Linked DNA regions of Mus musculus: regions 1, 2, 3, 5, 6 and 7 are each reported to be linked to region 4. Evidence: microRNA targets listed by miRTarBase, many of them from high-throughput screens and not tested one by one. Region 4 holds a microRNA gene; each other region holds the end of a gene's coding sequence.

Evidence for each region. The annotated mature microRNA mmu-miR-3473c reads UCUCUCCAGCCCCCAUAAUAAG and lies in region 4 at 2,231-2,252, opposite strand. An mRNA with a match to its seed (bases 2 to 7 or 8) in the 3' UTR can be bound and repressed. Matches are read on the target gene's strand: a 7mer-m8 pairs with bases 2 to 8, a 7mer-A1 pairs with bases 2 to 7 and ends in A, and an 8mer does both.
Region 1: miRTarBase lists Plxnb1 as a target of mmu-miR-3473c. Seed matches in the 3' UTR shown: 7mer-A1 at 1,489-1,495 and 7mer-A1 at 1,508-1,514.
Region 2: miRTarBase lists Ankrd40 as a target of mmu-miR-3473c. The part of its 3' UTR that is shown has no 7-base or 8-base seed match.
Region 3: the mRNA of Thap1 is a reported target of mmu-miR-3473c. Seed matches in the 3' UTR shown: 8mer at 2,502-2,509 and 7mer-A1 at 2,422-2,428.
Region 5: miRTarBase lists Trim43b as a target of mmu-miR-3473c. Seed matches in the 3' UTR shown: 8mer at 3,210-3,217.
Region 6: miRTarBase lists Ncbp3 as a target of mmu-miR-3473c. The part of its 3' UTR that is shown has no 7-base or 8-base seed match.
Region 7: miRTarBase lists Spc24 as a target of mmu-miR-3473c. Seed matches in the 3' UTR shown: 8mer at 3,551-3,558.

What each region holds. Positions count from the first base shown.
Region 1 is chr9:109,116,942-109,121,358 of GRCm38, forward strand. Plxnb1 (plexin B1) reads left to right here. Exons shown (of 38, transcript NM_172775.2): 38 at 899-2,974. The coding sequence ends at 1,003. Among named protein-coding and RNA genes, the nearest start is that of Gm39423, 3.5 kb to the right of the region's middle.
Region 2 is chr11:94,338,541-94,342,957 of GRCm38, reverse strand. Ankrd40 (ankyrin repeat domain 40) reads right to left here. Exons shown (of 5, transcript NM_027799.2): 5 at 1,111-3,405. The coding sequence ends at 3,259. Among named protein-coding and RNA genes, the nearest start is that of Gm51871, 11 kb to the left of the region's middle.
Region 3 is chr8:26,161,580-26,165,996 of GRCm38, reverse strand. Thap1 (THAP domain containing, apoptosis associated protein 1) reads right to left here. Exons shown (of 3, transcript NM_199042.2): 3 at 1,846-3,563. The coding sequence ends at 3,198. Among named protein-coding and RNA genes, the nearest start is that of Thap1, 5.6 kb to the right of the region's middle.
Region 4 is chr1:191,996,372-192,000,788 of GRCm38, forward strand. It overlaps Mir3473c (microRNA 3473c), which reads right to left and starts at 2,263; the gene lies at 2,183-2,263. It overlaps Traf5 (TNF receptor-associated factor 5), which reads right to left. Exons shown (of 14, transcript NM_011633.2): 13 at 3,427-3,597; 14 at 832-1,636. The coding sequence ends at 1,059.
Region 5 is chr9:89,081,619-89,086,035 of GRCm38, forward strand. It overlaps Trim43b (tripartite motif-containing 43B), which reads right to left. Exons shown (of 7, transcript NM_001170884.1): 7 at 3,006-4,098. The coding sequence ends at 3,626. Among named protein-coding and RNA genes, the nearest start is that of Gm40542, 3.7 kb to the right of the region's middle.
Region 6 is chr11:73,077,865-73,082,281 of GRCm38, forward strand. Ncbp3 (nuclear cap binding subunit 3) reads left to right here. Exons shown (of 13, transcript NM_025818.3): 12 at 1-152; 13 at 1,077-4,417. The coding sequence ends at 1,312. Among named protein-coding and RNA genes, the nearest start is that of Itgae, 11 kb to the right of the region's middle.
Region 7 is chr9:21,752,035-21,756,360 of GRCm38, forward strand. It overlaps Spc24 (SPC24, NDC80 kinetochore complex component, homolog (S. cerevisiae)), which reads right to left. Exons shown (of 5, transcript NM_026282.6): 5 at 3,400-4,261. The coding sequence ends at 4,143. Among named protein-coding and RNA genes, the nearest start is that of Spc24, 6.1 kb to the right of the region's middle.

The sequences.
Region 1 (4,417 bases), not on the chromosome of region 4:
CAGACTGGCCTGGGTGTCATAAGCCATAGGAGACATAGGGTGAGGTGTCAAGCACAGGACGAGGCTAGATGAGTGGACCACAGAACCAGGAGGGGTCTTTCTCGGGCCTCTCTTGACCAGCCTTGATGTCTAAGTGCGTCCGTTTCACTGTTAGTCAACCTATGAGTGCCTATAGAATTACCACAGTCGTGTGGCGCCAGTGATGTGCCTATCGTTGAGAACACGGAAACCTGCGTTGTGGTCTCAGCTGAGTGGCCTGGTAACAACCAAGGGATCCACAGCCTCATTCCTTTGATGCCAGCCTCAGCACAGGGAGAGGTGCAGAGCTGATGCAGCCTTCACCTGCTGGCGCACAGGAGAGCCAGCTCCTCTCCCCAAGCTCTGCCTGCCGCCTGTTCCTTCATGCCAACCTCATTTGTGGTTCTTGGGTTGTTCTTTTGCCTCAATATATCCTCTTGGTCTTGGCACAGAGAATCATGAAATGCCATTAGCTGTCAGGAAGGGCAATGGGGTTGGCTATGACAGACCTTGTGAGAAAGCCAGTGGTTATGTGAGGCTGGCTTCTACACAAAATGAGCGTGGTGAGGAAAGAGCATTAGGTGGTGAGTGGCGAGTGTCATTCCCTGGCAGCCTGTTCTTGAACGTCTGCGTGTGGGTGCTCAACTGTATCAACACTGGAGAGGCAGGAAGTTCGAGTTTTAGGCTATACTGAGACCATGCCTCAAACACCCTAGAAAACAACCCAGGCGACTGTTCTGTTTTCACCCTCACCAGTGAGACCTACAGTCAGCCTCACCACTATGTCTTTAGTCACTGAATTCCCATTGACTACCCTGCCCAAATGCTATCTGTGGTGACCAGATAAGTCTCCTCTGATTCTCTTGGTCCTGCCTTTCAGATCATCACTGCCCTGGAGGAGGATGGCACTGCCCAGAAGATGCAGCTGGGCTACCGGCTCCAGCAGATCGCCGCTGCTGTGGAAAACAAGGTCACGGATCTATAAGGACCAGGGAGTCTTTGCCTGCTGTTGTCTCTGTACCTCCTGGGCAGCCCTGGAATCTCAAGGGAGAGGCCACCACCTTCGTAGATGCCTGTAGTGACTGACAAGCAGAGTTTAATGAAAGGTGGCTCCCAGTCTCTTGGTGGCACCAGCTCATAGCCTCAGCCCCATTGGACCTGCCTTGTAGGCCTGGGACCTAGTGGTTCAGTGGGTAGTGCTAGGCCTGCCCCAAGCCTGGTGACTCTCTGACCTACTTCCTGGGTGACGCCAGCCTGCAGGGAGCTGGGGACTTAAGGTTTCCAGAGAATGTCTGGTAGGCCCTCCAGGCCCCTGGGGAGACTGTACTGTTCTTGAGCACTGACCTATGTCCCATTGGGAATCACAGAGGAAGGAAGAGAACCCGCCCGCCCACTTCCTGTCTTCTTCATCCATCCTCCTTGACCTCAAGTTTCGCTTCCTTTGTCCTTGTTCCCTGTTGCCAATTCCCAGGAGAGAGAGAGGGGGGGGGGAGAGAGAGAGAGAGAGAGAGAGAGAAAGAGATGCATTTCTAGGCTGCTGCTGCCTCAGCAGGGTTGGTGCCTCAGGACCACCCTGTCTTCCAGGTGGCTGGTGGGGAGGGACAGCTGCTTCAGGGGAGCCTTGGGGAGAGCAGTGACCCATTGATGCTATAGCTCTTCATTAAAGGATAACACATGGTATGGACTCACCAGCCCCTCTGCTAAGATAGAACTGGCAGCTGCTGGGAGATGTGGGCATCGTGCTCTGAAGGGTCCCCTGACACCCACGGAAGGCCACCATGAGGTTGGCAAGCTCTCTCCGGCTCCTAGGTAGGGTCTGCCAGAGGCAACACTCCCCAGAAAGGAGAACTTAAAGCACAATAAGGCTCAGGGAGAGTTGGGGCCTGAGATGTGGGGTTCTGTCCCCCATCTTTAAGGGGTCCACCTTGATTGCAGGTCGTGGTAACTTTGCCATTCATGTTCCATGAATTTTTAAAAGAATTGGGGAAGTATGGCGTTATTAAAGGCGATTCCAGGCAGTGTGGGTCTCAGGTCCATGACCCTGTTTCTGGATTCCAGTTTCCACATTGCTGTCCATGTTAAGGTACCTGAGGCAGGAGCTCAGAGCTACTCACCTGCCTGTGTAGTAGCTACCTTGTGGTATTTTCCTGTTAGAAGCTACAAGTGAGCTTCAAGACCATGGTACTGTGGTGCACTTGGCAGCTGGCGGTTGAGAATGCCATTGGCTTCACCAGGCAAGGGTCGTGGCATCCTCAGAGAGCTCCACCTTGGCTCATGTGTATAGCCAGTGATCTGGCCAACCTCAAGCTCTTCCCCAAGTGTTTGAAGACATGGGCTGATACAATTCCAAGAGTCCCTTCTTGCTGTCTTTTAGAATCTTTGTCTTCAAGATCGCAGGAGCCATTTTGGTTTTCATGCCAGGGGTAATCACAGTGACTATTTCTGTCAGATCCCATCTTCCCCATGCCTGCCAGATGTGGGGAACCACAGTCACAGACGGCCAGCAGTCAGGCCCTCTTTTGGGAGCATGTGAACTTTAGTACTAATGATAGTTGTCTTAGTTCAGATTTTATCCTCACGCAGAATGGTTTTGCCTCCCCCAGTGGCTACTCCGACCAACTATGTTGTTGACAGTCTCAGAGAACAGGGCTGACAGGGGGAATGAGGTCTTGGCTAGACTTCAGACAGATACAGGAAGGGAGGCACCTTTTAAGTCAACATGGCAGGGATGGTGACAGAGACACACCTCTGCTCCAGGCTTGAGCTTCTGCAGTCTTTGGGAGTCCTCTGAGGCGGTAAGGGTTCCTGCAGAGGAAGGCCGTGTACCTGCGTGCTTGGGCGTGTGCTCATGGGATGGGCGAGTATGGAACGTGCTCTGAGTCACTCCTGTCTCACCCTCACAGAACACTGTGATAGAAGATGTCATGAAAATAAAAATGTTACCACTTCAGAGAGGAAGCTAAGTCTTCACTCGATTGCCACGGCTGAGGGTGGCAAGGCCAGTGCCAACAGGACTTGGCGGTGGCTCACCTGGGGCCCGGCCAGTTTCAATATAGACTGTTTGTAATACAGTTTGCTCAGTCTCTCCCCCTTTTCACTCTCACTTTGCAAAGGTATGCCCTCATTGTTTCCCACAAAGTGTGATAGTGTGCTAAGGTCCCACGTTTCTCATCCCCCCGCCACTTTAAACGCTGGGTGACTGTCCAGATGATTAGATACGTATGAATCCCAGCGCTCGGGAGGCAGAGGCAGAGGCAGGCGGATTTCTGAGTTTGAGGCCAGCCTGGTCTACAGAGTGAGTTCCAGGACAGCTGGGGCTACACAGAGAAAAAACAAAAAAACAAAACAAAAAAAATTCTTTATGAGACAGGGATTCTATTTCTCCCTGGCTGGCCTGAAGCTTGCTGTGTAGACCAGCCTGACACTGAACTCACAGCGCTCTGTCTCCTGAGCTTTGGAACTAAAGGTGTGCGTCACCACACCCAGCACACTGTATAGTGTTTTTTTTTTTTTTTAAAGGAAGGAAATATATATTAAGGTTTGTTTATTTTATGTGAGTACAGTGTCTTCAGACACACCCAAAGAAGGTTGGATCCCATTACAGATGGTTGTGAGCCACCATGTGGTTGCTGGGAATTGAACTCAGGACCTCTGGAAGAGCAGCCAGTGCTCGGAACCGCTGAGCTGACTCTCCAGCCCTCATTGTTGTTTTAAATGGAAGAAGGGTGTCTGTGGCTGTTACAGCTGTGCTATGCTGATTAGCTCTGCGATCGCTTTGGAAGACACTTGGAACCCTGGCAATGGGCAACAACACCCTAGGGGCCTGCTGACTGAGGCTCAGAGGGACTGGGCTACCCTGGGGCACAGCACGGCAGAGGTCTGTCTTGTCTTCTGTTGGCAGTAAGGCCTACAGTATCTGCATTGCCAGGCTCCTGTAGGATAACACGGTAAAAAGCACACATGCAAACAAACCACCTCGGCCACCTAAAGCACGGGTCCACGGCTTCATCCCTTTTCAGAGACCCTGTCTCAAACATACAGGGCCGGAAAGACAGCTCAGTGGCTAGAAAGCATTTGCTCCTCCATGGGACCTGAGTTCAGTTCTCAGGCACCCGCATCTAGTGGCTCACAACTGTAATTCCATTTCTGGGGCATGTGATGCCTTCTGGCCTCTGTGGGCACTTGACTCCTGTATACCTACTCTCCCGTGCTACGAATGTACGTGATTACAAGTCTATACAAATTCTTAAATCTATATGTAGACTTTTCAAGAAAGGGTCTCTGCTGGCTTTTACAGTAATCTTCCTGCTTCAGCCTCTCAAATGCTGAGATTACAGCTCCATGCCACCAGGCCTAGCTGGATCTGTTTCCTGCTCAGCAGTTAAGAGCACTGGATATT
Region 2 (4,417 bases), not on the chromosome of region 4:
GGGAATAAGTGGATGTGACTCTCCCTTCCTGGCTCCCTAAGATGCCTGTTCACCAGGGAGGCCACTGGTCTTTCCTTCTCCTCTGGTCAAGCTGGGTGAACAGGAAGGCTAAAAGTGTCCTAGGTCCCTGCCTCCCCAGGCCCTGGAGCCATTTTGAACAAGCCAACAAAAGACTTTTCTGCACAGTCCATCTGGTCCCAGGACTGCACTTGAAAGGAACCTCCCTGTCACCTCCTCAGCCTTCGAGCTCACCCTCAATTGTACCCTTACTGTCGGTGAGAAGTGACTGACAGCGTGCGGGTGGTGGCTGGTTTTCTTTCCCCACCCTAAGTGCTTGGCAGTCACCAAGGAGATGGCGCCTTTGATCTGCTTTTTCTATATGCCCCGGGTTGGCCTATGCTGCAGGACCATTTGTTAAAGGTTAATCACTTTTTTTTTTTTTTTTTTTTTTTTTTTTTGGGCAGGCTATTTCTGCCCAGGATGTTTATGAGTGTATGGAAGGCGACTTCCATCCTTCTGATAGAGCAAGTATGAGAGCACAAATGCCCAAATTATTCTGCCTCTCCCTGGTGCTAAGAAAAGGTCTCTGCTGTGCTGATTTATTAGGCCAATTTGGCATGACGTCTGCTTTGTGAGGTGCTGGGAGGCCTAAACCAAACAGGAGATTCATTCAGCGTCCTTCCCTGCTAGAGATCTGAAGGTGGCGGGCTGTGCCTCCTCTCCTGTCTTGGGAGTTCGCTTCTGAACTCACTGAGGCCATGACAGGTGCCGACAGCCCAAAGGGGAGGCTCGGTTGTGTCAAGTAAATAGGATAATCAAAAACTGTGGTTAATAGGGGATGACCTCTATCTAGCTGCTCAGCGACTCCAGGGAAACCAAGTGACTGGGAGGGAAGACATCACACAGAATCCATCTCCAGACACGACCCACGGGGTGAGACAGTGACACTCGTGACAGGGCAGAGGCAGGCAACAGTGGGGTGGCAGACACTCGGCTGGGGATCTGGTCCTCTTTTTCCTCCACAGCGCCAGCCCCATGGGACTTCACAGCAATTTGAACCCTCTATGATTAGAATACAGTGGCAAAACGAGGGCAAAACGAGAGAGAATGGGCTGGGTCAGTTAACAGTTAATTTTAATAATACCTGTTATGTTTAAAGAGTCAACAACACACGAGGAAAAGTCTTCTGTGAATGTTTACACAGTGTGAACACATGCTTTAACTATGCAGTGGAGGAGGAGAGGAGCATTCAGTTAACAAAGCCTAAAAGAAAACCCCTTGTTATAAATTACACAACGCATATAAAAATATTTCTCTGAATGCATAGATTAAGACTCGGAACTCACCTAAGAGCAATCACACAGTTCCATCCCACTGCCCGAGACACTGACCCCAGAGGACTGTGGCAAAGCACAGGACACTGGGCAGAGCCATGTGGGCCACCACAACCTTTGGTCAGTCTGAAGTGCTTGCTTGCTCCTCTGTAGCCCACCTCCCAGCCAGCTCTACTGCTTCTCAGAATCTCTAATCAACCAGGGAGGCTGAAGGAGTCTCAACCCCAGTGATTTAGACATGAATTAATACTGAGTTTATTTCTTCTAAGATAGAATCACGCTTAATTGAATTACTAAACTTTTTCAAAGCAAATTAGGAGGGAAAAAGGTTAGTACATTTAGTTAAAGTAGTTTCTGATTGGTTGAAACACAAGGGAGGTGTCTTCATTAAAGCACTTGGGAAAGGGGGTGGTGAGCCACAGCCACTCCACTACGCAAACACTCTACAAGGGAAGTCACCAGCTGTGCCAGGGCCAGGCACCATGCAGTCACCTCACAGTGACCCACACAGTGACACTGGCTTTGAAGAACACCTCAAGCTCATTTCAGCACTCAGGCGGCAGTGGGAGGCCATTACCTCAGCACAAGGTTCTCTTCCAGTGCATCTGCATGTTTTCAGTCAACTGCAGTGTTCTAATAAAATTAAGTTAATACCCAGGAAGTTAAGTTTCTTTGGAAACTATAGGCACTATGGGGAAAAGCTTAAGACAGCAGGGGTCCCGTCAACAGCTGCTCCAGCCCTGTTCTCCTGCTCTTGTGTGCGCCAGGTCCTATCTATCTAAAGTTAAGCAAACCGAGGTGGCTTTTCGTCTTTAATGAGGCTGAGGGGGGGAGACTCTTGCATGCGCTCTTGGAGAAGAGTCGTACACCATGCTCCAGAGTCTAATCAGGCCCTCACAACTGACTGTGGAGGTAACGGGGAATTCCTAAAATTGAACAATTTGTTTATAAAAGCAACAGATTCCAGAGTTATGTAAAAACCCTAATAATTTTCAAAATAACCTTTATCTTTGATACAAAAATAAAGATGCTAACTCCTTTAGTTCAGTTTCCCACAATAACCTTTAAACCAGCAACAAGTCCGGGCTCAAAAGCTGCTCTTTGTTCCTGGAGGGAGTGAGAGTGGTGGGCGCCTTGTCCAACAGCGCCTGTGCTCTTCTTGAATGGTGCAATTAGACAGGGTGACAGGAGTGGCCACGGAGCAGGTGGTGGCTCCTTTAGAAAGCATTAGAGAGCCCTCTAGTGACTGTGGAGGGGAGCAGATGTGAAGATGACTGTCGAGACAGCCGCAGTCATCAGTGGTCATAAAAGAAAACTGGGGGAGGGGAAGCTCTTTTGGTTAACAGCCTATTTACAATTAGGTAACTATATTTTAAATACTTTAAACCTGAGTAACATTTATAAATATGCTATATGAGACCTCACAGCCACAGGTCATACCAGAATCCCTCTGTCCAGTACCTGTGTGTGCTTTCTTTCTTTCCCCAGTCTTCCTCCCTCATCAGTTCAAAATTTCTTGAGTGTCACGAGCATGCAACACCAAGAGAGGCACGCCCGGCCCTTCAGGCGCACTGTCAACAGGAGTGGCTAGAAATAGGTCTGCGCTCTCAGCTTCTGCTTTGACAACTCTCTAGATCCTGCACATTAAACACTGGCTCTCGAACCTTCGGCTTCTGCCTCTCAAGACTACTTTCCAGCTGTTCAAAGATTCAGCAATAGTTTATTGTGCACCAAGAGGCTTGGAAGAGTGGCACCGCTGCTGGGGGGTCGGGGCTCCTGCCTGGTGAGGCGGGGTGTTAGTGAACACTACGCAGTGGCACCAGGGGCCCTGGTGGGCATACGAGGCTTTGGGATCAATGGCTTGTCCTTTGGCCCAGAGATGACACATACTGTCACAGTACTCAGTGATGAAGTCCCTGCTGCATCAGTACGTCAGTTTTGAAGCTCTCCGGTTATAGCAAGGCCTCTCAGTCAGTGTGGATGCAGCGTTTCTAAACAGAAAATTATTGTCACTTATCATCAGAACCAGTTCCAGCTCCTGGAAGTCCTGGAGTCGGGCAACATCTTTGTCCTGAAACAAAACCGGGTAATGGATTAAAATTTTCTTTTCATTTAGTTAGCTCTTTATTACATTTGTTCGTTTTGTGTGCACACATTTGTGTTATAATGCACATGTGGAGATCAGAGGGCAACCTGTGGGAACTGGTTCTCTCCTTCCACCATGTGGGGCCCTGGGACAGACAGAACTCAGGTCTTCAGGCTTTGCAGTAGGTGCCTCTACCCACTGAGCCAACTTGCCAGCCCAAGGCAACAGAGCAATAGCAGCAGTCTGTGTCTATGCTTGGTTGGTTGTATTAATTCCAGGGTCTTGGTTCATCTTTAATCTAAAAGGAAAATTAAATCCCTGAGACAGCTAAGCAGTGATCAGCCCCCACATTTAATCTGAACAAGAAGGAGAAAGTTCTGTCTCTGTTGCAGGATGAGAATGCCCTAAAGGGACAGGCAGGTGAGTGTCAGGTTTCCTCAGGAACTTAGAGAAGCCAGAAGCTTGATGCTGGAGAGCCCATAGCTGGCTGGAGCATCACAAAGATGCCAGGTGGGCCGCATATCATATGGCATAAGGCTACAGGTTACTATGGGAACAACTGAAACAGGCCCATGTAACATCCTGCTATCTTCCAACCTTCAAAAGTGCCAGTGTATTAGAGTATGATCGTTCACACATTTAATCCTAGCAGGCAAGAAGCAGAGGCAGGAGGACTGCCATAAATCCAAGGCTGGCCTGAGACACACAACAAATACCAAGCAAGCTAGGGCTACACATCAAGACCCTGCCTGGAAAGAAATACATGAGTAAGGTGGGGGCTTCTCTGTGGACTCAGAGGAAGGGGAAGAAAGCTTATGGAGTGATTACAGTAAGGCTGGAGCTGGAGCTCAGAGCCTTGCACATAGCAAGCACAAGCTTTAACCTGGCCTTGGCCTTGGCTCTCCTTTGTCCTTTTTATTGGCTTCCACTTAAGCTATGGCTCAATAACCAAGGGAGAAGTTAAGTGTGCTTGAAATGAAAACAGCAACCACTCACA
Region 3 (4,417 bases), not on the chromosome of region 4:
GGTCTACTGGCTGAAAATGTTTGTGTTTGTTCCTCTGACTAACGGTATGGTTTCTGTATGGTTAGAGTTGTAGTGTTTTCAAATGTATTTTATTACTTTGGACTGGATGTTTGTCTCCAGCAATACGAGGTACTTTCCGTGAAATAAGATAACGGTTGTTTAAATTTTGGAGAGGTTTTGTTGTTGTTATTGGTTTGTTTTTTGTTTTTGTTTTTGTTTTTTTGGTTTTTGTTTTGTTTTGTTTTGTTTTTTTGGCCTGCAGGGATATTTTGTGTTCATGTGTCCAAAAAGTGGGGAAGGGGAATAAATTGGCATTCTTGTGCTAAAAGTTGTTTTTCTCATCAGTTGAGACATAAATATAGAATACACTGTAAAAGAAATCTTTTTTTTAAATTTAAAACCAAGTGTTGTTATCATGTATAAGACTCTAGTACACACACGTGTGTTCTGTCTCTTGTTAAAGTCTGTTTCCAAGGCACGACCCAACAGGTGATAATAATTATCGGAACCACTCTATACAGGGGACAAGGAAGACAGGGCTTGGGTCCAGTTAGTTGTCACTGGACTGAACAACAGGGCTCTTGTCCAGTGTCCCATGAGCTCACTGTTTTTAAAGGAGCATTACCTTTTGTGTGTACCATTATTTATACCATGGTACAAAGATGTCCATAGTAAAAATACCTCCTGGGATGCTCTCTTATGGAGATAACAGAGAGAATCCTCTCTTTTAAAGTCTCCCAATGGTAACTCCAGCATTAGTTTCCACAGGGCTTTCTTGTTGAGTTCTGCTGCATGTCATAAACATCAATGTGATGACGTTTTGCTCTGTGTCTGCTTTATCTATAAATTTGCTACAAATACTCATTTCAAACCAAAAGCACAGTTATGGTAAAGGACTCCACGTACTACACAGAGTATCCTGTGTTTTCTGTAAGGTTTACCCGAGAACATATGAAGCTGCATAGTTTATCACTGTGCACACAGGTAATATAACTTCACTCAGTTATCCTGTGTATGTTGTTAGGATTCTGCTTCCTTTCATTAAAGTCACGTAGTCAACTTTTTGTTAAGCACAGTCATGTCCTCTGAGCCAAACAACAGCCATCTTTGTTGAGGTTTGGTCTTGCTCTGTGTATTGTAAGGCTAAGTGCAACCCGAAAAACCTAGAGTCCCTAGTAACCGTGGCATGTGACCTTGCCCCCAAGTTATTTCTGACTGGGAAATATCGATGCAGACAGCTGGCAGCTGGGCAGAAGGGAAATTGCTAGGGTTTAGGATTCCTGGGCTTGGGGTTGGAGGGGAACCACCGGAGGAACAGAAGGTGAGGAGAAAGAAGCCAGCATGGTTTAGGTGAGCCATGGAAACGGGCTGAGGGCTGACCAATTGGAGTTAAGAGCAGCCCTGATGAAACACTGTTTAAGTAATAACTCGGGGCTATCGATAGAAACGTATATTCTAATAGCAGAGAGGGTAGGTGTCTGCCCAGCTCTTGAGCTGCTTAAGGCTTATTGGAAATAATAAGTTGTGTGTCTTCTATCCAGGAACTGAATGGTCAAAGGCGGGTAGGAACTCCAGACTGGGGTTAAAAATGTCTACAACACATCTTCGTAAGATTAGCTGTGCTTGTTTATAAAAGATCATCATAGCTGGATTAGACTGTTGATCAGCCTTTTTAGAAAGAGTGGGTGGGCGGGGTTATTGGACTCTCATCTGAGTACCTAGCTCCTCCTCCCAGCCAGCGTTACGCAATTATAAGCTATTTACATGTAGTAAAAAAAAAAAAAAAAAGTGCTACCTATTCTCAGCATGGTAGTAAATCAGAAAGAAAAAAGCAGGGCCACAAGATACTGGAATAACATGTCTTTAATACTGTCTTGAAAGGTCCGCTATTCTTCAGCTACAGTGTCCTCTGAGATATAAAATACGGTTCTCCTACACCTAGAGAATTCTTTTATCAGCACTTGTCCACTCAGAACATATTTTCACTTGAAGCATACGTAACCTTTCTCACAGAACACAATCCACAGTGTGAACAGAAACTGCAATATTTAAGTCTCAACGGCGACACAAACACGACACATTACTTTTGAACGTAAGTCACTTGGAGTAAATTGGATATAACTTCTAACTTAAGAGTTGAAAAAAATATTTTCTATGAAATGTCTTGTCCAAAATCATACAGTTAAGGGAAAATTTATCAAAGACTTAAGTACAAAGGGCAAAGTACGGTATTATAGTACAAACCAAACTCTACTAAAATAATCTGTCAGAGGTCTGAATGCAGATTTAACTACAGCTGTGGAATCGGGTGCCTTTGCCAGGGGATGATCAGAGCATATTAGGAGCCAGGTCCCAACTTTTCTTTCTTTAGAAGGTTGTCACAGCACACATGGGGACCTGAAGGTGACTCTGTGGAGTGGTTCTCTCCTTCCACCTTTACATGGGCCCCAGGGGTTAAACCCAGGCAGCGAGGCTTGCACGAACCTTCAACCACTGAAACATCTCTCCAGCCCCGCCCCCAATTTTCTCTTCACTGATGCCAATACCTGATTGGAGGCCTGCCACTCCCCAAGACACACTTCTAATTTCATAACGCTAGGGACAAAAAGGATCTACTCTTAAAACTACTCTTTATGAAACTATTAACTATGGAATGATTTTTCTGAAGACAGCAAAATATTGTTTGCCTCAAATACTGGCTTGACAGTTCATTTTTGATAAGTGATTGAGAAAAATAAATGAAGCTCTGGCTATAAATACAAAATGTGTGTATGTATACCTCTATATTCTGAAAGGCTCTGTCCTATGCTCTCACTTAAACATCTGATTTAAATTATAAGTTATCTCAATAAAGGGCATTAATTTTTAAACTTAAATCATTTTATCATACCATCACCCTCTCTACTTTTTATTTTTACATTATTTCTATAAATACTCAAATGAAAAACAATCCACCATCTTGAAACCAATATACAACATTATATTGGTGGTTTAAGGATTTTTTAAATATTTGTTAAAATGTAGAAACTCTGAAATTACAAACAAAAAAATTACAATTTTACAGTATATATCTAATTTATTTTAAAAAAATATTGTTTTTTTAATACAAGTAATTAAGTGTTATTTTTTCAAATGAACTCCTGTATGTAGGCTAAAAGAAGGTGTATAGTCTTGTCCCACTAACACATCTCATTTTTTCATGCTGGAACTTCAACAATTTCAAAGTAGTCATTTGGTAGGATCACGTAGCCCCTCTCGGACGCGTCGTCCTTCTCTCTCTGAAAGTGGACGACTTCCTTGAGCTTCTCGAGCTGCCTCTCCTGCCGCCGGCACCGCTGCTGGGCCGTCTTGAGCTTCTTCCTGAGTTTCTCCACCTGCTGCTCCAGCTGCAGGATCCTCTTCCTCTGGTGCATCGTATCCTCCACAGTGTAATTGTGGTCACAGAAAACCGACAGGTTATCAGGGGTCTGCAGAGGGGGCATTAGCAGCCCAATAGCAGCATCAACCTGGGAAGCGGGGGGTGAAGGAGAGGGGAGCTGTTCTTGGGATTCCAGGTCTTCCTTCTAGACAGCAACAGACAAGCACGTGGGGTTAGTAACTAACATAGCTGAGGTTTCAACATTAAACAGTTTTTGTCACTCCATGATACACAAGAAGTCCAAAATGAGAAAATACATTGTCTTGGTGGGTTGCAGTACTGGCATGAAATCCAGGGCACCAGGACATCTAGGCAAAGCTCTCTAGGATTCAAACCGCCTTCCAGGCCTAAACATGTCAGCGTTAGGCTTTGGCTTGTCTGTAGATTTTAAAAGCCTAGGTGTGTAGCCTAGGCTGGCCCTACACGTAAGCTCCTCCTACATTTACCTCCCAGGTATTAGGATTACAAGCGATAAGCCCCTGGCATCAGTTTAAGGTGGTTTTTGTTTGTTTGGGGTTTGGGGTTTCCTTGTATTTGTATGGGGGAATGGGGCATCCTTACTGTATAGTCCAGGTTGGCCTGGAAAATGGCAGTGTTTACCAGGCTAGCCTCAACTGTGGCAATCCTCGCAGTTGGTTCTCTGCAGTGCTCAGACTGCAGGTGTGTGCCACCATGCGGCATTTCCAGTCCTAATTCAACTTTTCTAACTGACGTTAAAGTGGAATTTGTGAAACAGAGAAAGTGATTTAGTTGGATATAAGTAAATACTAAACACCCAAAACAGAAAAAAATTAATCTGAAAATCATCCCCAGGAATGAAAATGAAGCTTATCAACACATAAATGAAACAGAGTTTCCGTTACCTTAAGCAGAACTAGACTGAGTTATTTACTGTGAGATCTCTAATGTGCAGAATTGTTTTTAAAACATGTATTATTGTTAATAGTGGCCTTTTTTTTTCTTAAAAAAGAAAGATTTATATTTTAATCATGGGCATAT
Region 4 (4,417 bases):
GATTTCTGATGGTCTCAGGCAACCCCCGAGAAAGGATCATTTGACCCCCAAAGGGGTCGTAACTCACAGGTTGAGAACCACTGCAAAGACAGATCTACAAGAACCCGGTCATTTCTGCTCTCAGAGCACTCAAAATGTTGACAGGAAACTCCGCAAGTTTCTACAAATGCTCATTTTTTGGTCAGCATATGAATTTAAAAGTTCTTCCAGAAGAACAGAAGGGTTCAGACAGCTGCTATCCATGGTGAACAGGTTCCCCTTTTGTCCTTTTCTCATATTTTTCTCTGTCATAACAAATTTGCTCATCCTCACACCCACTGCCATGCAAAGGTCACCTGGCTGAGTTGTGTGAACTGGTATAGTTGACAATTTTACCTAAGAAAATACTTCTCACCTGGTCAAACCTAATGAACTCTGAACTTTCGGTTCACTAAACATCCACTCCTTGGCACCCATTGTGTTAGTGGAGAAGGACGAAGAGCCGACCCATTTCCTAGCTGTTATACAACTTGGCAAACTGTGCTTACATGCAGCTAGTGGATCCTGTATAAAACACAAAAGGGCGATGCGATTTCCAAGCGGTTGGCATCTCCCTGAAGATCTGTGGTCCAAATGCAGCATATGTAGCTACACTGCCCACACTTGACTGGCACAGCCTGCCTGTCTCTTACAAGATGGCTGCTGCAGGCCTAGGCTCAGGTGTGGAAGCACTGAGTCAGCTGATAAATGACAACGAGTGTCAGTGGGAATTCTGCCCCTGTATCAGTCCCGTTGAGCACTGGACTCCCTGAAAACACTTCCCAGACTTCAGTGAGAGAGAGGAGCCCCAGGCCTTGTTGTCAAATTATTATAATTTTTTGGAAGATACAAAAATATAAATAACAGCAATATTTCAAGAGTTTAAAGTTTCAAACCAGGGAAGGATCCAAGATAAAAAGATGACACATCAGACATCGGAGGCAGGAAGACAAGAACAAGAGCCTGCTCAGTCCAGAGGGCTGCGCCCAAGGGACAGCCACACCTTTTCCTGTGCTGAGAAGTTTCCTTATCAGGTAACACTACAGATCCTCCAAGTCAGTTAAATCCACGGCCACTTTCAAGAACAGTGTGTCGTCTTTAATGTAGGTGTTCTTGGAGTTCTCCAGAGTAGAGTGCGACACAAAGCGGGGACAGCCAGAGGCAATGTTCATCTCGCCATCTGGCCTTTTGAAGCTGCTGCTGTTGGGGTCAGCTTTGAAGGTCTCCACAATATGGTTCTTCTTGCCGCTCTGGTCCAAAAGCATCAGGGTCACCCTCTGCCTGAACGGCCACTGCAGCAGCGAGTCAAACTCACCGCGCATCACCACAAAGTACAGGGACAGGTGCGTTCCCTTCCCCGACCCGTCCCCGTTCAGGTACGCCCTGGCACAGAGCCGGTAGCCGCAGCGGCTGGTGTAGAAAGGCTGGCTGAAGACGGACACTGTGTGCCCCTCCACGGCCTCCCTCTTCTTCACCCTGTAATCTGTCACCTTCCAGATGAGCTTGCCACTGTAGCAGGCGCCCTCCAGCTGCTTAAACCGCTCTTCGTTCTTATTCAGCTGTGCTTTGTGGATATTAATGTGTGCGTCGTGCTTGCTGGTCTCCCCCTCTAAAAGAACTGGAAGGAAACACAGGACAGGAGGCTGCAGCTCGGGCCTGTCATCTGAGCACTACCTGTGAACTACTACATGCATTGCTAACATTAACTCAATCGTGGTAAGCTGACGCCAAGCAGACATGGATGTATCCTCCCTCTTCACTCTCAGCTTGCCTGAGTATAAGACACATTGGACATTCACCTCGAGTGAATTCTCATGCTGAGCCTTGTGCCCGTCTAACTGTGTGTGTTTGTGTGTGTGTGCATGCATGCACACGAGTGTGCTTGTGATGTAAGTGTCTGTGCATACTTGCATGTGTTTGGCTGTGAGGTGCTTGTGGCATACAGAGGCCAGAGGTTGATACTGAGTGTCTTCCCCAGTAGTATTTCAGTCTTTTGATGTAGTTCTCTCACTGAATTAAACCCTGATATTCTGGCTAGCTTGTCCTGGAGATCCTGTGTCAGCCTCCAGAGTGCTAGGACCACAGGTAGCCCTCCAGTCCACTCAGCAATCACATGGCTACAAGGATCCAAATTCTAGGTCATGTGTGCAGCAAGTGTGTTATCTACTGAGCCATCTCCCCAACTCCTATAATGAATTTTACATTTAAAAGACTTATTATGGGGGCTGGAGAGATGGCTCAGCAGTTAAGAGCACTGACTGCTCTTCTAGAGGCCCTGAGTTCAAATCCCAGGAACCACATGGTGGCTCACAACCATCTGTAATCAGATCTGATTCCCTCTTCTGGTGTGTCTGAAGAGAGCAACAGTGTACTCACATACATAAAACAAATAAATAAATATCTTTATAAAGTCTTATTATTATTGTTATTGTTGTTACTGTTGGTGGTGCGTGCGTGCGTGCGTGCGTGCGTGCGTGCGTGTGTGTGTGTGTGTGTGTGTGTGTGTAAGTGAAGGCATGTACACCATAGTATACATGTGAAGGTCATAGAACAACTTTCAATAGTTGGTTCTTTCTCTCCACTGTGTGGGTTCCAGAGATCAAACTCTGGGTGTTATAGTTTCAATGAGTTGTGTGTCCTAAGTCCTAAGCATTGGAATACTTGGTCCCCAGTTGGTGGGTTGTTTGGGGAGGATTAGGAGGTGTGGTCTTATTGGAGGAGGTGTGGTCTTGTTGGAGGTGTGGTCTTGTTGGAGGAGGTGTGGTCTTGCTGGAGGAGGTGTGGTCTTGTTGGAGGAGGTGTGGTCTTGTTGGAGGAAGTGTGGTCTAGTTGGAGGAGGTGTGGTCTTGTTGGAGGAGGTGTGTCACTGGGCTTGGGGTTTCAGCAGCTGCTCCAGTGCCATGCCTGCCTGCCTGCTGTTTCTCTATGAGATGGTGGTAAATTCTTATTTCTCTGCAATCATAAGCCCAAATAACACTTCCTCCTACAAGTTACCTTGGTCATGGTGCTTTGTCACAGCAACAGAGAAGCCACTGATACACTGGTCATCTCGATTGCATAGCAAATCACCTGCTAAGCAATCTCACTGGCCCCAGTGCACCAAAGCCTAAGACACCCATCACCTCTCTCCCTTGTTCTTAATGATTACCACTCCCAGCTCTTGGGACTGCCTGGGCCATTTCAGTCTCGTCTGACTCCACACACATGGTGGAGACCCTCATTTTCTGAGGCAGCTAGAATCTCATGCTGCTTCACAAACAGGATTCAGCCACTGGGCAACCCAGAAAGCTGGTTGTGACTTGTTAGCTTCTACCACAAATGCACACAGACAGGGAAGCCATGAGAGGGAACCCGACTGCTTCATACACACACACACACACACACACACACACACACACACACACGTACCTAATCTCTGGTCACTGGCTTCCAGCTGGGTGATCCTCTGTTTCACGCTGTCAACCGCATCCACCAAAGACCTCAGATCAAGTCGACTTGGCTGCTGGTTAACTATTTGTAGCAGCTGCCGCACCTGCGCTTCCAGCCAAGCTGACTTGTCCGTGTGACTGGTGAGAGCCTTGCGGTACAAAAAAGAGAATATGTCTTGGAAACGAGACATCGGATTTGTAGCGTGTTGACTGAATTTTAACACAAACATTTCACATAGAATGATCCACTCATGAAATGGAAGTGGCAGTGTCCAGAGAGGGGGTTCAGTGGACATGGCAGAGTCAGCAGCTGCCATCTTCTTCTTCCTTTCCAGGCTGGACTCCTCTGGTGAATTTCTGAGCTTTCCCCGATGTGTCTAAAGTCTCCCCTCCATGTATTCACATGCACTTTGTGGCCCTCTTGCCTTAGCCTTGCTTCCCTCAGAAGAAAGTTTCCTTTCTGTAAGGAGGTCAAGATTGGGCAGGAGCAGGCAGAGCCTACACACTCTATGGATCTTTCACATGGAGGATATTAATCTGTCTGCCTTGCCCATATAGTCTTAATTCCACCCTATTGCTCTCTGTTTAGGAAAATGTCAGAACTAATAGTGTGATAGGTTCCTTTTTTTTTCCTAGACATACTAACACATACATATACATATGTGCACACACATCTGCACATACGTGCCCAGCACATGTAGAACAGGTGCATACATGTATGTATATATGTATATGCTGTGGTGAAGAAGAATAAAGCTTCTATGGCCTAGATTTCCTGGAACAATACACATTTCAAACACATTGCCCATGTTATATGTCTTTAAATCACTACAAATCTGGTCATGAGAGAACTTTTATTTGTTAGGGGTCCATTTGTGGTTAGTTAACATTCAGGATTCATCGAGTGATGTTTAAGGCATGCCCTTCCCAAAGGGAATTAATGATTTTACACACATACCATGGAAGTATGG
Region 5 (4,417 bases), not on the chromosome of region 4:
GCCTGGTCTACAGAATGAGTTCCAGGACAGCCAGGGCTACACAGAAACCATGTCTTGAAAAACCAAAAAAAAAAAAAAAAAAAAAAAAAAAATCTAGTAAAAAGTAAAATCCCTGGAATCTACAAAGGTGACCCCAGAGACCACTCCCAGTAATGGAGGATACAGAGCCTGAACCAGCCATATTCTATAACCAAGTGACTTACAGTGGTAGGGTTGCAACATGAACACAGCTAATGCCCTTAGACCTACAACCTATCCTGCCAGAAAGATGTGCTGGGGCAATGAAGGAGAACTAATGTGGCCAACTAATGAGTGGTCTAATTCGAAGCCCACAAGAGAGGAAGCCCATGCCCAACACTGCCTGGATCATCAAGAACTGGAGTCTGGATAGCCAAGGACCTAGGGTAGGAAAAATAAGTCAATGAAATGATCCCTAGTGGTATTCTGCTATACTCAAAGATTGAGGCCTAGTTCAATAGTCATCAGAGACACTTTCCCTAGAAGCTGATTAGAACCAATGTAAAGACTGACAGCCATGCATGAGATGTAGAGAGAGCCCAAATTGGAGCACTCCATTAGGTCCCTCCCCTCAGAGATCTAGGAACCCCATGGAAGAAGGGGGAGGAAGAATTATAAGAGTCAGTGGGGTCAGAGACACTAGGATAATACAGCAAACAGAAGCAACTAAATAAGGGTCCTGGGGGTTCACAGAGACTGAAGCAGCAACCCTGGAACATTGGTATGTGCTTAAGTTATATCTGCATGTTATGGTTTTTGGTTGGTTGGTTTTTTGAGACAGGGTTTCTCTGTATAGCCCTGGCTGTCCTGGAACTCAACTGTATAGACTCAGAAATCTGCCTGCCTTTGCCTCCCAAGTGCTGGGATTAAAGGCACCACTGCCCGGCATGTTATGGTTTTTAGCTTGGAGTTTTTGTAGGACTAGTAACAGTGAAGTAGATATCTGGCTCTTGTCTGCTCTTGAGACCCATTTCCTCCTACTGGGTTGCCTTACCCAGGCTTGGACTGGGAGAAATGAAAGGAGAAGCTATGATCTGACAGTATTATAAGAATAAATTTTAAAATGTATATACATGAGCTTTGTGTTTTACCTTATTAGATATGAGTTCAAAAGAACCACAATAGTTAAATAGGAAAGGATTTATACTCTATATGCTCTAAATGTGGCCAAGGTGAAGGCCATTTGCCCACAAAAGTACATTTGAGGAGCTTGGGCCTGGACATAAGCCACAGAGCTGCCCTGACTGCTAAACTGATTTGCTTTTTAGCTCTCATTTATTAATTTAAGGCAATTTCATATATTGTATATGCACCCATGGGCCCTCCTTCAAATCCCTCTTCCTTGTGTGCCTATTTAGAAGCAGATGTTCTGGTGCTCTGGCTCTTAGGATGTATCTGCCTCTTCCACAAGGTTTCCTGAGGGTTACATGAGCTGTTATATTGTCAATGCATCAAGTGAGGTTTTATGACTGGAATGTAAACTTTCCAGAAATTGGGGGATTTAGAAATTCTCCAGAATCCTGTACATGATATAAATGCAACCCCAACATTTGCTTTCTCTTTTTCTAATAAAAAAATGAGAAAAAACAAAACACCTCATCCCCTTTGAGCTTAATGCTTCTATGTTTTGTGATCTTATTGAACTGCATGCCTGGTGCTAAGTAGTAGTCGCATGGCATTTCTTATGTCTACTGTGTTCTTAGTCTTTTCTAAAATATTTGCAATATGCTTCCTAAAGGAGCAACCTAAGTTCTCATGTCTCTGCACAGTCCTTGGTGTAATATTCTGGTCAGAGCCTAGGTGTCACAGAAGTCAAATGGTCAATGGAGTCAAATCTTATGTTGGGATATTAAGAAGTATAACTTTATGCCTTTCGAAGCAACATGAGAAAGCAGAGGGAACTAGACTGGCTAACCAAAAAAATTTGAGGCTTCATTTCTGAAAGTCTAGAATCATGAAAGAAAATGGCCTTGGATGGGCATTACAATCTACTTCTCTCAGTGTTCTCAGGTGCACACGACCCTCTTTTTTTAAGATTTATTTATTATATGTGTGTACACTGTAGCTGTCTTCAGATACTGAAGAAGAGGGCATCAGAATTTTTTTTACGGATGGTTGTGAGCCACCATGTGGTTGCTGGGATTTGAACTCATGACCTTTGGAAGAGCAGTCGGTGCTCTTAACCGCTGGGCCATCTCACCAGCCCCACACACGACCCTCTTGCAAATGACCAAGGAGGGGTTTCCAGAAGAGAGAACCTGTTGAATGTCAAAAGACATTTGTGTGCTCTCTGAGACTGGAAGAATATTCAATATTTAAAGCTGTTTTATGTTGGAGACAATTAAAGTTTTTTCAAGTGTGTCCCCAACATAAAACAGGTTTAAAATAAAGGACGTGAAAGAGGGGGAAACTCACTTTCCTTTTTTTCAGGAAAAAAAAATCCCTCTCTGAACGATGAGAGCCTGTTTGTTGTTGTTGTTCTATCCCAGTTGGTAAATAATTATTTGTTTAGATCAAATAGGGATTCAAGCTTTTATTGATCAACAAATCTGCCTACAGTAGATCTCTGTGCCTCTGCCTGACGTCATTAACTTAGAATCACACAGATACAGAATATTTAAATGGTGCTGGAACTCTGGGAACTCTGCATCCTGAGTTCTAGGTCTACACTAGATCCAAGATTCTAATTAGTAATTCTCACAAATATGCAAAAACAAAAAGCAATAACTACTTTGAAAGTAAATGTTTGGCCTGGTGAGATGGCTCAGCAGGTAAGGGCACACTGACTGCTCTTCCAGAGGTCCTGAGTTCAAATCCCAGCAACCACATGGTGACTCACAACCATCCATAGTGAGATATGACGCCCTCTTCTGGTGTCTAAAGACAGCTGCAATGTACTTACACATAATAAATAAAATATTTTTAAAAAAGTAAATGTTCTAGGAGGAACAGGTGGACCACAGATAAGAAGCAGTCACCCATCTTTTACATTTAATATCATTTTATATTTTTTAAATTTATTTATTTATTATATGTAAGTACACTGTAGCTGTCTTCAGACACACCAGAAGAGGACATCAGATCTCATTACAGATGGGTGTGAGCCACCATGTGGTTGTGGGGATTTGAACACAGGACCTTCAGAAGAACAGTCCCTTAACCAAGAGTCAGTGCTCTTAACCTCTGAGCCATCTCTCCATCCCTTAATATCATTTTAACATGTCTTAGTTAGGGTTTTACTGCTATTAACAGACACCATGACCAAGGCAAGTCTTATAAAGGACAACATTTAATTAGAGCTGGCCTTCAGGTTTAGAGGTTCAATCCATTATCAAAGTGGGATCATGGCAATATCTAGGTAGGCATGGTAAAGACCCAGATGAGAGTTCTACATCTTCATCTGAACGCTGCTAGTGGAAGACTGACTTCCACACAGCTAAGATGAGAGTCTTAAAGCTCACACCCACAGTGACTCACCAACTCCAACCGGGCCACACATTCTAATAGTGCCACTCCCCTGGCCAAGCATACACAAACCATCACAATAAAGAGGGGACACATTATCATAGAAGTACTAGAAAAGCACTAGCATACTGGATTCCTATGATTATGTGTAGACAGCAGAGAAGAAAGGCCTGACAGCACAATGGAAAGTTCCAGGAGAGTAGCTGAGTATGAGGGAACTCTTGGCTACATCCACGAAACTTACATATCCACCCTCACAATCAAGGAACACGCCAACTTGGCCAACTGGCTTCTCTATATAGTGTTCACCTCCTATGCGGGTGATGAGAATGTAATGATCGTCCTTTCTCAAACACTCAAGAAATAGATCTGTGGGTGTCGCCACATAGCTTCTCCCCCTTAACCAGGGATCCTTACAGACTCCTACAGTCCACCGCCTATAGTCCTTCAAATCCACCTCCCAGTAGTATTTTCCCCTGGAGAAGCTCTTTTTTCCCCAGGAAACACGATGGGTTTCAGCTGAATCCAGAGATGTGCTTTCATGGAGAAGTCTGATATCAAAAGGTCTGAGTGAGGTGTAGCCGAACATGATTGAATGTTTAAAGGAAATCTTCACTGTGGGAAGAAAAGCCAACATTTTAGTTAAACCAACTGTTTACAGTTGTCAGGTGAATGAGGTCCCTAGAGATTTCCTGGTTTTAAAAATAGAAAGGCTAAGACTGGAAGGGTAGATATAGCCCAGATAAATAAATAAAAGTCAAGAAGTTCCCCCAAGAAACAGTGAGTACATAATGAAAACGTTTTTGAAAATCTGTAGAAGCTGCAGAGGAGGAAGCCACAGCACAGTTCTGTCAGGAGCTTTTCATTACCACTGAGCAACAGGAGGTGTGCAACACAATGAGGACCGCTGTGAAGGCTGTACCCCTGAGTCTCC
Region 6 (4,417 bases), not on the chromosome of region 4:
GCGGTTAGGAAAAAGACCGTATTCTCCAGAGAAGGCTTTTAGTAGTAACCAGGTGGTTCGGAGAGAGCCCTCTTCAGATGTACATAGTAGGCTAGGTGTTCCCAGGCAAGATGTTAAAGGCCTCTACTCTGATACTCGGGAGAGGAAATCAGGTGAGTAACACTTCACAGTGATGGAAGGGAAGGAGTGGAGACCAGTGGTTATAGCATAAGAAGTAGGTAGGTCTGTGTTTGTTCCCTCTTCAGTTAGCATGACTTCCTTTGTCTACATCAGCATCAGCACCATGCCTACAGGAAAGTTCAGGAAGGAGAAAGGAGAAGCTATACATCCTTGCTGCTTTTTAGTTTCACATTATTTAGTTTCTTTGTTCACACATATATCTAGTTTTTTTTTATGTAGCCTTTTTTTCTATAACTCTTCCATTTTGCTTTACTCTTCATAAGTAAATTAAACCTTTAATTATCTTGTAGTATATGTATATCACCACATTCTAAACACATGCTTCTTTGTAAGGTTTTAATAAAACACTTCTTTTGGGGGATTTTTTTTATGTTTTGCTTACATGTTTGTCTGTGTACTGTGTACATGTCTGGTGCCCTTGGAGGTGGGAAGAGGGCATTGGATCCCCTGGAAGTGGAGTTATGGACTGTTGTAAGGTACCATGTGGGTGTTGGAAACATAACCAGGTCCTCTGCAAGAACAAGTACGCTTAACCAATAAGGCCTTCAGCCAATACATAAACACACTTTAAAAATGTATAGCTGAAAACCTGAGAATTGCTCATAGTAAAACAGACCCGTTCAGTTTGCAGAATGTGAGAGTTGGCGGTTTCTTGGCAGACTGAGGGGTACACAGCCTGGGAGAGAGGCAAGTGTCTAGTTTGTGCCTGGTATGGGGACACCAGCCTTGAGCTGTGAGCATCTCCCATCGAGTCTCAGGCTGTCCACTTACAGACTGGCACCAAGCACCTCTCCCGATGTTTCCTGCAGAGCAGGTGTTGGCAGTGTCCTTACTTCCACAGAACTACTTGGTACTCGGCATCGACTGCCAACTGAAGTGTCTTCTCACCCCAACAGGTGGTTTGTGGACTCGCTTAGGATCTACACCCAAGACCAAAGAAAAGAACACGAAGAAAGTGGATCACAGGGCATCTGGTGCTGAGGAAGATGACTCGGAGCTTCAGAGAGCATGGGGTGCTCTGATCAAGGAGAAAGAAGAGTCTCGCCAGAAGAAGAGTCGGCTGGATAGCTTGCCTTCGCTCCAGATTGAAGTCAGCCGGGAAAGTAGCTCTGGTTCAGAGGCAGAGTCCTGATGCCCTGGCCTTGGCAACTGCCCTTAAATCTGACATTCTTACATAAGGTGGGGCGTGCAGTGGGAACCTCCCTTGCAGGAGCTGGCGCCCTTTCCTCCTACCTGCACCCTGAACACTTGCTGTCCTAGTAGGACAGCTTAAGAGTGTGATGAGTTTTGAAGGAAGGGTGTCTCTGTCTTGTGCTGCAGAGTTACAGTTCTGGGTCCTCAAGTCTTCCCCACCACCCCACAAGCTTTACCCTTGGAGTTAAAGGCAACCCTCCAGATTTTGTAGACATTTTCTTAATATTTTTAACATTGTGTCTTTTAAAAGCAATGTTTTACACAGTCATCCAAAGAGCCGAGAACTGAACTTCTCATTGTTGCCTTGGCCCTGACAGATCTTGCCAGCACCCTGTTCCAAGAAAAGTCAGTTCTCAGGTGCTTACTGGACAGTCTTTGAGGGGGAAGATGAGGGAAGCTGCCAGCTCAGCCTTCCAGGGCCTTAGTGTGGTGGCTAAGTCTCTCAGACCTGACCTGAGACCCTCCCGAGTAGATATGCTTGCAGCAGCAGTCAGCAGTGGCTTCCATTCCTCCCGGGGGGAGTCTTTTAGAGCCTTTTGCTGGCTGGTAGCCTGGTGTAAAGACCAAGTTCAGTGCTGTAGGACTTCTAGGGACAAACAACTGTGACTTCTGGATTTGGAGTTGATTTCTGTGCTTAGGGGTGGGGTCTTGGGTTGATGTTGAACAATTTTTAAGTCTGTATTATGTTTAAAAACTATTAATGACTTAAAAGTTTAAATTTTTAATTTTTATATGTGGATATTCCTCCTGTTGGCTAAGGGGAAGCTCAAGTGGTGTCTTTTGTGTTGTTAAATATACATTATATACTTTGGAAGAAGGCAAAGAAAGGAGTGTCATTATTTTGAATGGTACCAATTGTATGGTCTGTTGTACTTGAGTTCAACTTGCTTTGTGGCCACTGTAGGAAAGAAACTGCTGTCCATCTGTGATGGGCTCTTGTTTATTCCCACTTTTCTAGAAATGATACCCTGAGAATTCACTCTTTGTGTCTCTGACTTATTATTGAAGACTTATTCAAAACTAGCAAATAAGACAGTAGTTTCAGAAAATGTAAGTTTATGTTTATTCTCCTTTCAAATGATTTTACCATGGAAAGGGAGTAAGTAGATTATTTGGCTTCTCATCTGACTTTACTTTATAGTATTTAATACTGTATTGCTCTACAGGCTTAAAAGTGGTGTTTCACTTGAGTGCATAAGCATGCCTTTGGGATGTCAAGCTCTTCACCTGCTCGGCTTGTTCTGTGCCCAGTAGGTCACAGAGCACTTGACTTGTGGTTGAGCACGTGTCCCTTGGTGGCTGCCTACACTGTGAATGAACAGTGATGCACATGAAGAAGCAGAAGACTTCAGAACTAAGTCGTAACAAAACTGTATCATATGTATCATTTGGTTAGCAACCCCACCCCACCCCCATCTCCACCCTACCCCCAGAAAGATGGGAGCATATAACCAAAGTGGTTTGGCTTCTGAGGATCCTAGAAAAAGGTAGTTCTAATTTCTCTGCCAGTTCAGACCTAAGTCCTCCAAGGTTTCTAAGTTTATCTTGCCCTTTGTAGCTCACAGCTTACAGTCAGGTTCTTAGAGGTTCAGACTTTGGTAGAGTAAGAAGAAAAATGGCCTGAGAACAGAGACCTGGATGCCAACCAGGACTCTACACACTGGGCCTGAGCCTTGGTTTCCCCATGAAGCAAGGAAATGGTCTGGTGCAGAGATTCTGGCTTTGTTGATATCTCTCAGTGGTATTTTATTCTTGGAAGTTGTGGCTGCAGCATGTTTTTCTGTTGAGGTGGCCAAAGTGTCAGGGAACAAGGTGGCCATGAGATTGTGAACAGAGACTCACCCCATCCGTTTACAGGCTCCAGTTCTCCCAGTGTGTTGAAGATGTGCCTGTGGGGTCTAGAGCCCCAACCCATCCTCAGCTTTCTTATTGTTCTATCTGGCAACCCAGGCCCATTTGCCTAGGGTCTTTGAGCACTTGTCAACCTCCTGCTAGAGATGAGGGGAGGACTTTATGGAAGGTAGGCAGTATGTATTCAAAACTAACTCCTTGAGCTGACCAGGAAAGATGCCCTTGAGCAGCATTGCAGTTTTTACAGCACAGACAACCCAGAAACGTACATACTGCCTAAAGTGATGGTCTGCCCAGCATCTCTCTCTCCAGCCAGCTCTCAGAGCTGCCCAGAGCTTCAACACCTTGAACCCTATGTGCTTAGGAGTGACAGTAGTCAGGATAGCCCAGCAGGCAGCTGGGTATACTTTATTCAGGGCACTTTCTGTACATGTGGGGTTAGTCTTTATATGTAGGAGATTATTAAATGCCCTTTTGCTGCTTCATAATAATTGCAGATACCTCATCTTTGTTTCCTACTACTCTTCTTTGTAGAGGGGCCTGATGGCCTCTGGCCCTCCTCTATCATAATTCCATGATTCCTTCCCCTGCTTCTGTCTTTCCTTTCTGCGGCAGCTTCTCTCAACCCTCCCTCTTCATTCTACACATTGTAGTGGGGGCAAATTTTTACTTGAGAGATACGTACATAGTATGCAGTTTATCCTTGTACAGTGTACATTTGATTGTCGTCTATTTACAGAGCTGTGGAACCATTATCATCATCAGTTTTAGAACATATTTATCACCAGAAAAATCCTGTTCCCACTAGCAGTCCTCCTTCACCTCTCCTCAGACCTGGCAACTACTAATCTTTCTGTCCTTGTGGATTTGCCTATAACGGACCTTTCATAAATGTTATATGCGATGTGCAATGTGTCTGTTTACTTAGTTTTAAGGTTCATCTGTGCCATGGTATATATCATCATTTCAAGTAGTGAGTACCTCTCTCTCTCTCTCTCTCTTTCTCTCTCTCTCTGTGTGTGTGTGTGTGTGTGTGTGTGTGTGTGCGCGTGTGCGCTTAGACATTTTCATTGTGTGGCCCTGGCTGCCCTTAGAACAGGCTGGTCTTGAGTTCACAGAGGAAGCTCTGCTTCCCAGGTGCTGGGATTAAAGGTGTGTGGCACTGTGCCTGCCAGTGGGTTTGTTTTGTTTT
Region 7 (4,326 bases), not on the chromosome of region 4:
TAAAAACACTTTACTTACCAACAGGCACTGAAGGGCTGGTGTTTAACTCACTGTGCAGTGCCTACCTAGCGAGGGGAATGGGAGGTACTTGGGTCAGGGTCCCCTTTTCTGCTCTCCCGTCTTCTTTGCCTGCAGTTCTCTGGGCTCAGAATAGCAATCAGTGAAAGACCTGGATGTGTACCCGTGTGTGCAGTACCTATCTGACCCAGGGTGGGCAAGTGATGGTGGTCTTGCCTGCCTCGTCTCTGTGGATTCAGTTCTGCCCAGGACAAGAATGGCAGGCAGCAGCTGATTTCTGACACACGAACTGCTGTTCCCCGCTGACCACCAGCCCCCCAGGCTGTGGTCCCTTCCAACTCACAGTGTCTGAGCCCACAGCTGTGTGTGGTGAGCCAGCTTGGAGCCCCAGCGGGAATGGCACGGGGGAGACAGTGGGAAGGGTGCTCTGCTAGGCAGCCAGCATTCCCCAGCGCCCGCTGCGGCTCCAGCTCCCACTGTGGTTTTCTGAGATTAAGTTCTCAGGAATATCACTCCTACTCAGCCTGCCTGGGGAAAGTCTCCCTAGATTTCCTGTGTCTTGTCTGACACCCCTACTCGAATCTGCTTCCTGCCCTAGAGGAGCTCTGTCCTTCCCTTGTCCCGCCCTTTGGCCAGGCCTTGTAGGGAGTGTGTGGGAGAAGCTTGGAGCTTAATTAGATCAGTCTCTTACTCAGCAGAGCCACTGGCTGTCTGGAAAATCTTCCCCCTATACTGTGGACTGCAGGCCCAGATTGATCAAGATGCTTTCTGCGGTTGCCTGGTGGCAGTCCTTAGCTTGCTCCCAGCTTAGCATTATTCTGTGTCACCATCTCTACCCTCCCAGCCTCCCCCCCCCCCCCCAGCATTTTATCCCCTGTCACTTCCTTATTGCCAGGTGTGCTGACCTCCTTCCTAGCAGGAGATTGAGAGTCCCCCCACCCCCACCCCCACCCCGGAGCTCAAACACCTACCAGGTGTGAAACCTGAGACAAATCTCCAGCCTGGGTTTAGTTTCCATTTCCAGATGATGCGCGCAGCCAGGCATACTTCCATAGCTCCAGCCACTTACAAGTATGGCTGCCACAGAACCATTCAGCCAGCAGGAGCCTGAATGTGCTTGTGGCTCAAAGGGTAGGTAAGGGCGCTTGTCTTCCAAGCCTGGTGATCGAGTTTGATCTGGTCGTAATCCTTGTAAAGGTGAGAGAACTGATCCCTTACCTCTCACAAGCATGCCTGCACCCCGGGGCCTGCACTTACCTCCCTACATACTGTGACTCTCCATACAGACACACAGTAAAAAGGACCTATTAGGAGGTCCCGAGATCCAGGTGAGAGTGGCCCCAACAACAGAGGTCACAGGTAGAGTCCAAGTGTGGTCATGCCCATAACAGACAACCGATCCTGTCCCCCACACCAGCCCAGCTTTTTTTTTTTTTTTAAAGATTTACTTATTTTACTTATATGAGTACACTGTAGCTGTCTTCAGCCACACCAGAAGAGGGCATCAGATCCCATGACAGATGGTTGTGAGCCACCATGTGGTTGTTGCGATTTGAACTCAGGACCTCTGGAAGAGCAGTCAGTGCTCTTAACCACTGAGCCATCTCTCCAGCCTCCAGCCCAGCCCTTGTGTCATGAGGAGACAGCCTTCAAATCTGGCTGCCTGGCTCCTCCTGCTCATTTCCTAGGTCTATGCATCTTTCCTGCTTAAGGAAACAGCTCTTAACTGCAGCTAACCCCAACAGAAAGAGGGAGAGACTGGAGAAAGGGGCTGGCCACCTGCTGGGTGCTCTTACCACTGTCCTAAAAAACCACCTAGTCCTGGTGACACTTCAGAGGAAGACACTATGTGCCTTAGGGATTGGTGGCAGTAGAACACAGGTGAATGGGTCAACCCCTGGACTTCATATAATGTCTTGGGACTTAAGGGAAATGGCCAGATGGATCCGTCCCTCAGTTTACCTCATCTGTAAATTAGATTCAGGACTGCTCCTCCTTCTGGCTGGTTCTCTTAGAAGGAGCAAGTCAGGCTGTGGGTAGGAATTTGGGCAGGAGGCTGTGGCCTGGCCCCAAGATGTCCCAGGCAGCCAGCCAGTGCTGGGCAGTGACTCAGAGCCTAGGCATGCAGAGCTGGGGGCTCTCCAGGGTGCTGGGCCACAGTCCTCACTCACTGGACCTTGGAGTCAGCCCCCAGTGCTCCTCCAGGGAAGGGAGTGAGGCTCCCCTGCCACCAGAGGGTCAGGAGTTTGAGCAGCTGGGCACTTGCCCTTCTTGTGCAAAGCCTCGTTGTTGGTTCCTGCTGCTCTGCTGGGTTTTTTGGTAAGATTTATGTATTTTATGAGTGGTTCGCTTACATGTGTCTGCACACTGTGTGTGCCTGGCACATGATGAAGTCAGAAGGCTCCAATCTCCTGAACTACAGCTAAAGACATTTAACTCTGTGGATGGTGGGAATCGAACCCAGATCCCTTGGAAGAGCAGAAGGTGCTATTTAGGTGAAGACAAATACGGGCCCTTGGATCCTGTGAGGCCTCAGGCCATCAGACTTGATGGCAAGAACCTTACCCATGAGCCATCTCCCTAGCCCTCCAGCTTGGCTATGTTGGCAGCCTTGAACTCCATGGCTACGTTCTCCACCAGGCACCAGGTCTGCAGGTCAGCATGTACAACCGTGAGTTCTCTATCCTGCACCGTCTCACACTGGTATGAAAACACAAGTCCACAGCAGTGACTCCGCAGGCAATGTGGACTAATGCTAGTCCTGCAGACGTTAGCTGTATTATGTGACCTTCCCAAGGGACACTCAGCCATGGCTCAGACACTTCCTGTTGTCAGGACACTACTGGAATCCAGTGAGGTCGGGGATGGTGTCCCCAAAAGCTAAGACATCATACAGCTGTCACTAGGTGAGGTGGAGTGACCTGGCTCTGGATGTGGCTCAGCAGTTGGGCACAACCTGAGAATCTTCCAGTGACGAGCTTGGCATCAGGACCTCATAAAAAGGGGGAGAGTGGGCCAAGGTGGCTGCTAGCCAACTGCTTACAATCGAAGCAGGAGGACCTGAGGTCAAACCCCCAAACCTGGGCCAACTGCTGGGGCAGTGGGAGAAAGCAAATCCTTGGAGTTCAAACCCTGCCTCAAAAAAATAAAGTGTGGAGGGGCTGGAGAGATGCCGCAGCTGTTAAGAGCACTGGCTGCTCTTACAGAGTTTGGGTCCCGGTACCCACGAGGCGGCTCACAACCAGCTGTAGCTTCAGTTTCAGAGGATCTGACAACTCTGGCCTCCTCAGGCACCAAGCATACTCATGCACATACCCCCACAGAAGAACCAACTCCAGCAAGCTGTTACACACATACACACCCACCATGCTGCACACACACTTTTTTTTAAAAAGAGTATTTATTTAATGTATGTGAGTACACTGTGGCTGTCTTCAGACACACCAGAAGAGGGCATCGGATCCCATTACAGATGGGAATTGAACCCAGAACCTCTGGAAGAGCAATCAGTGTGCTCTTAACCACTGAGCCATCTCTCCAGCCCCAACTGCACACATTTTTGTTTTTGTTTTTTTGTTTGTTTGTTTTTTTTTTTTTTTTGTTTTTTCAAGACAGGGTTTCTCTGTATAGCCCTGGCTGTCCTGGAACTCACTCTGTAGACCAGGCTGGCCTCGAACTCAGAAATCCGCCTGCCTCTGCCTCCCAAGTGCTGGGATTAAAGGCGTGCGCCACCACGCCCGGCTAGGCACACATTTTTTAAAATTGTAATTAAGGGGATGGAGAGACAGCTCAACAATTAAGAGCACTGGCTGCTCTTCTATAGAATACAGGTTCGATTCCCAGTAGCCACATGGCAGCTCAGAACCACCCATAACTCCAGTTTCAGGGGGTCTGAAGCCCTCTCTAACCTCTCCTGGAATACACAGCTAACAGACACACATGCAGACAAAACATTCATACAGTAAATGTAATTACAAATAAAAAAGAAGCTGCAGGCCAGCCTGGACTCCATGCTGTCTCAAAGCAAGTAGATAAATCAATGAACGCACTCACATACAGACATTTAATTTTAGAGTGATCCCCTCCTTGGCTCCCTCAACCCCAGTTCTGTGCAAGGTATGAGGTCAAGGCTCTGGCTCCCACGTGGTGTCCACCAGGCTCCAGAGGTAGTCACTGATGAACTTCGGCGAGAGCTGTGCACTGTCCAAGTGGATGGGCTGGGCCACTGTGGGGCCGTGGTGGACTGAGGACGAGATGAAAGGAAAGTGTTTTCGGTCCTCCCAGGTCCAGTCGCTAACCTTGAACTGT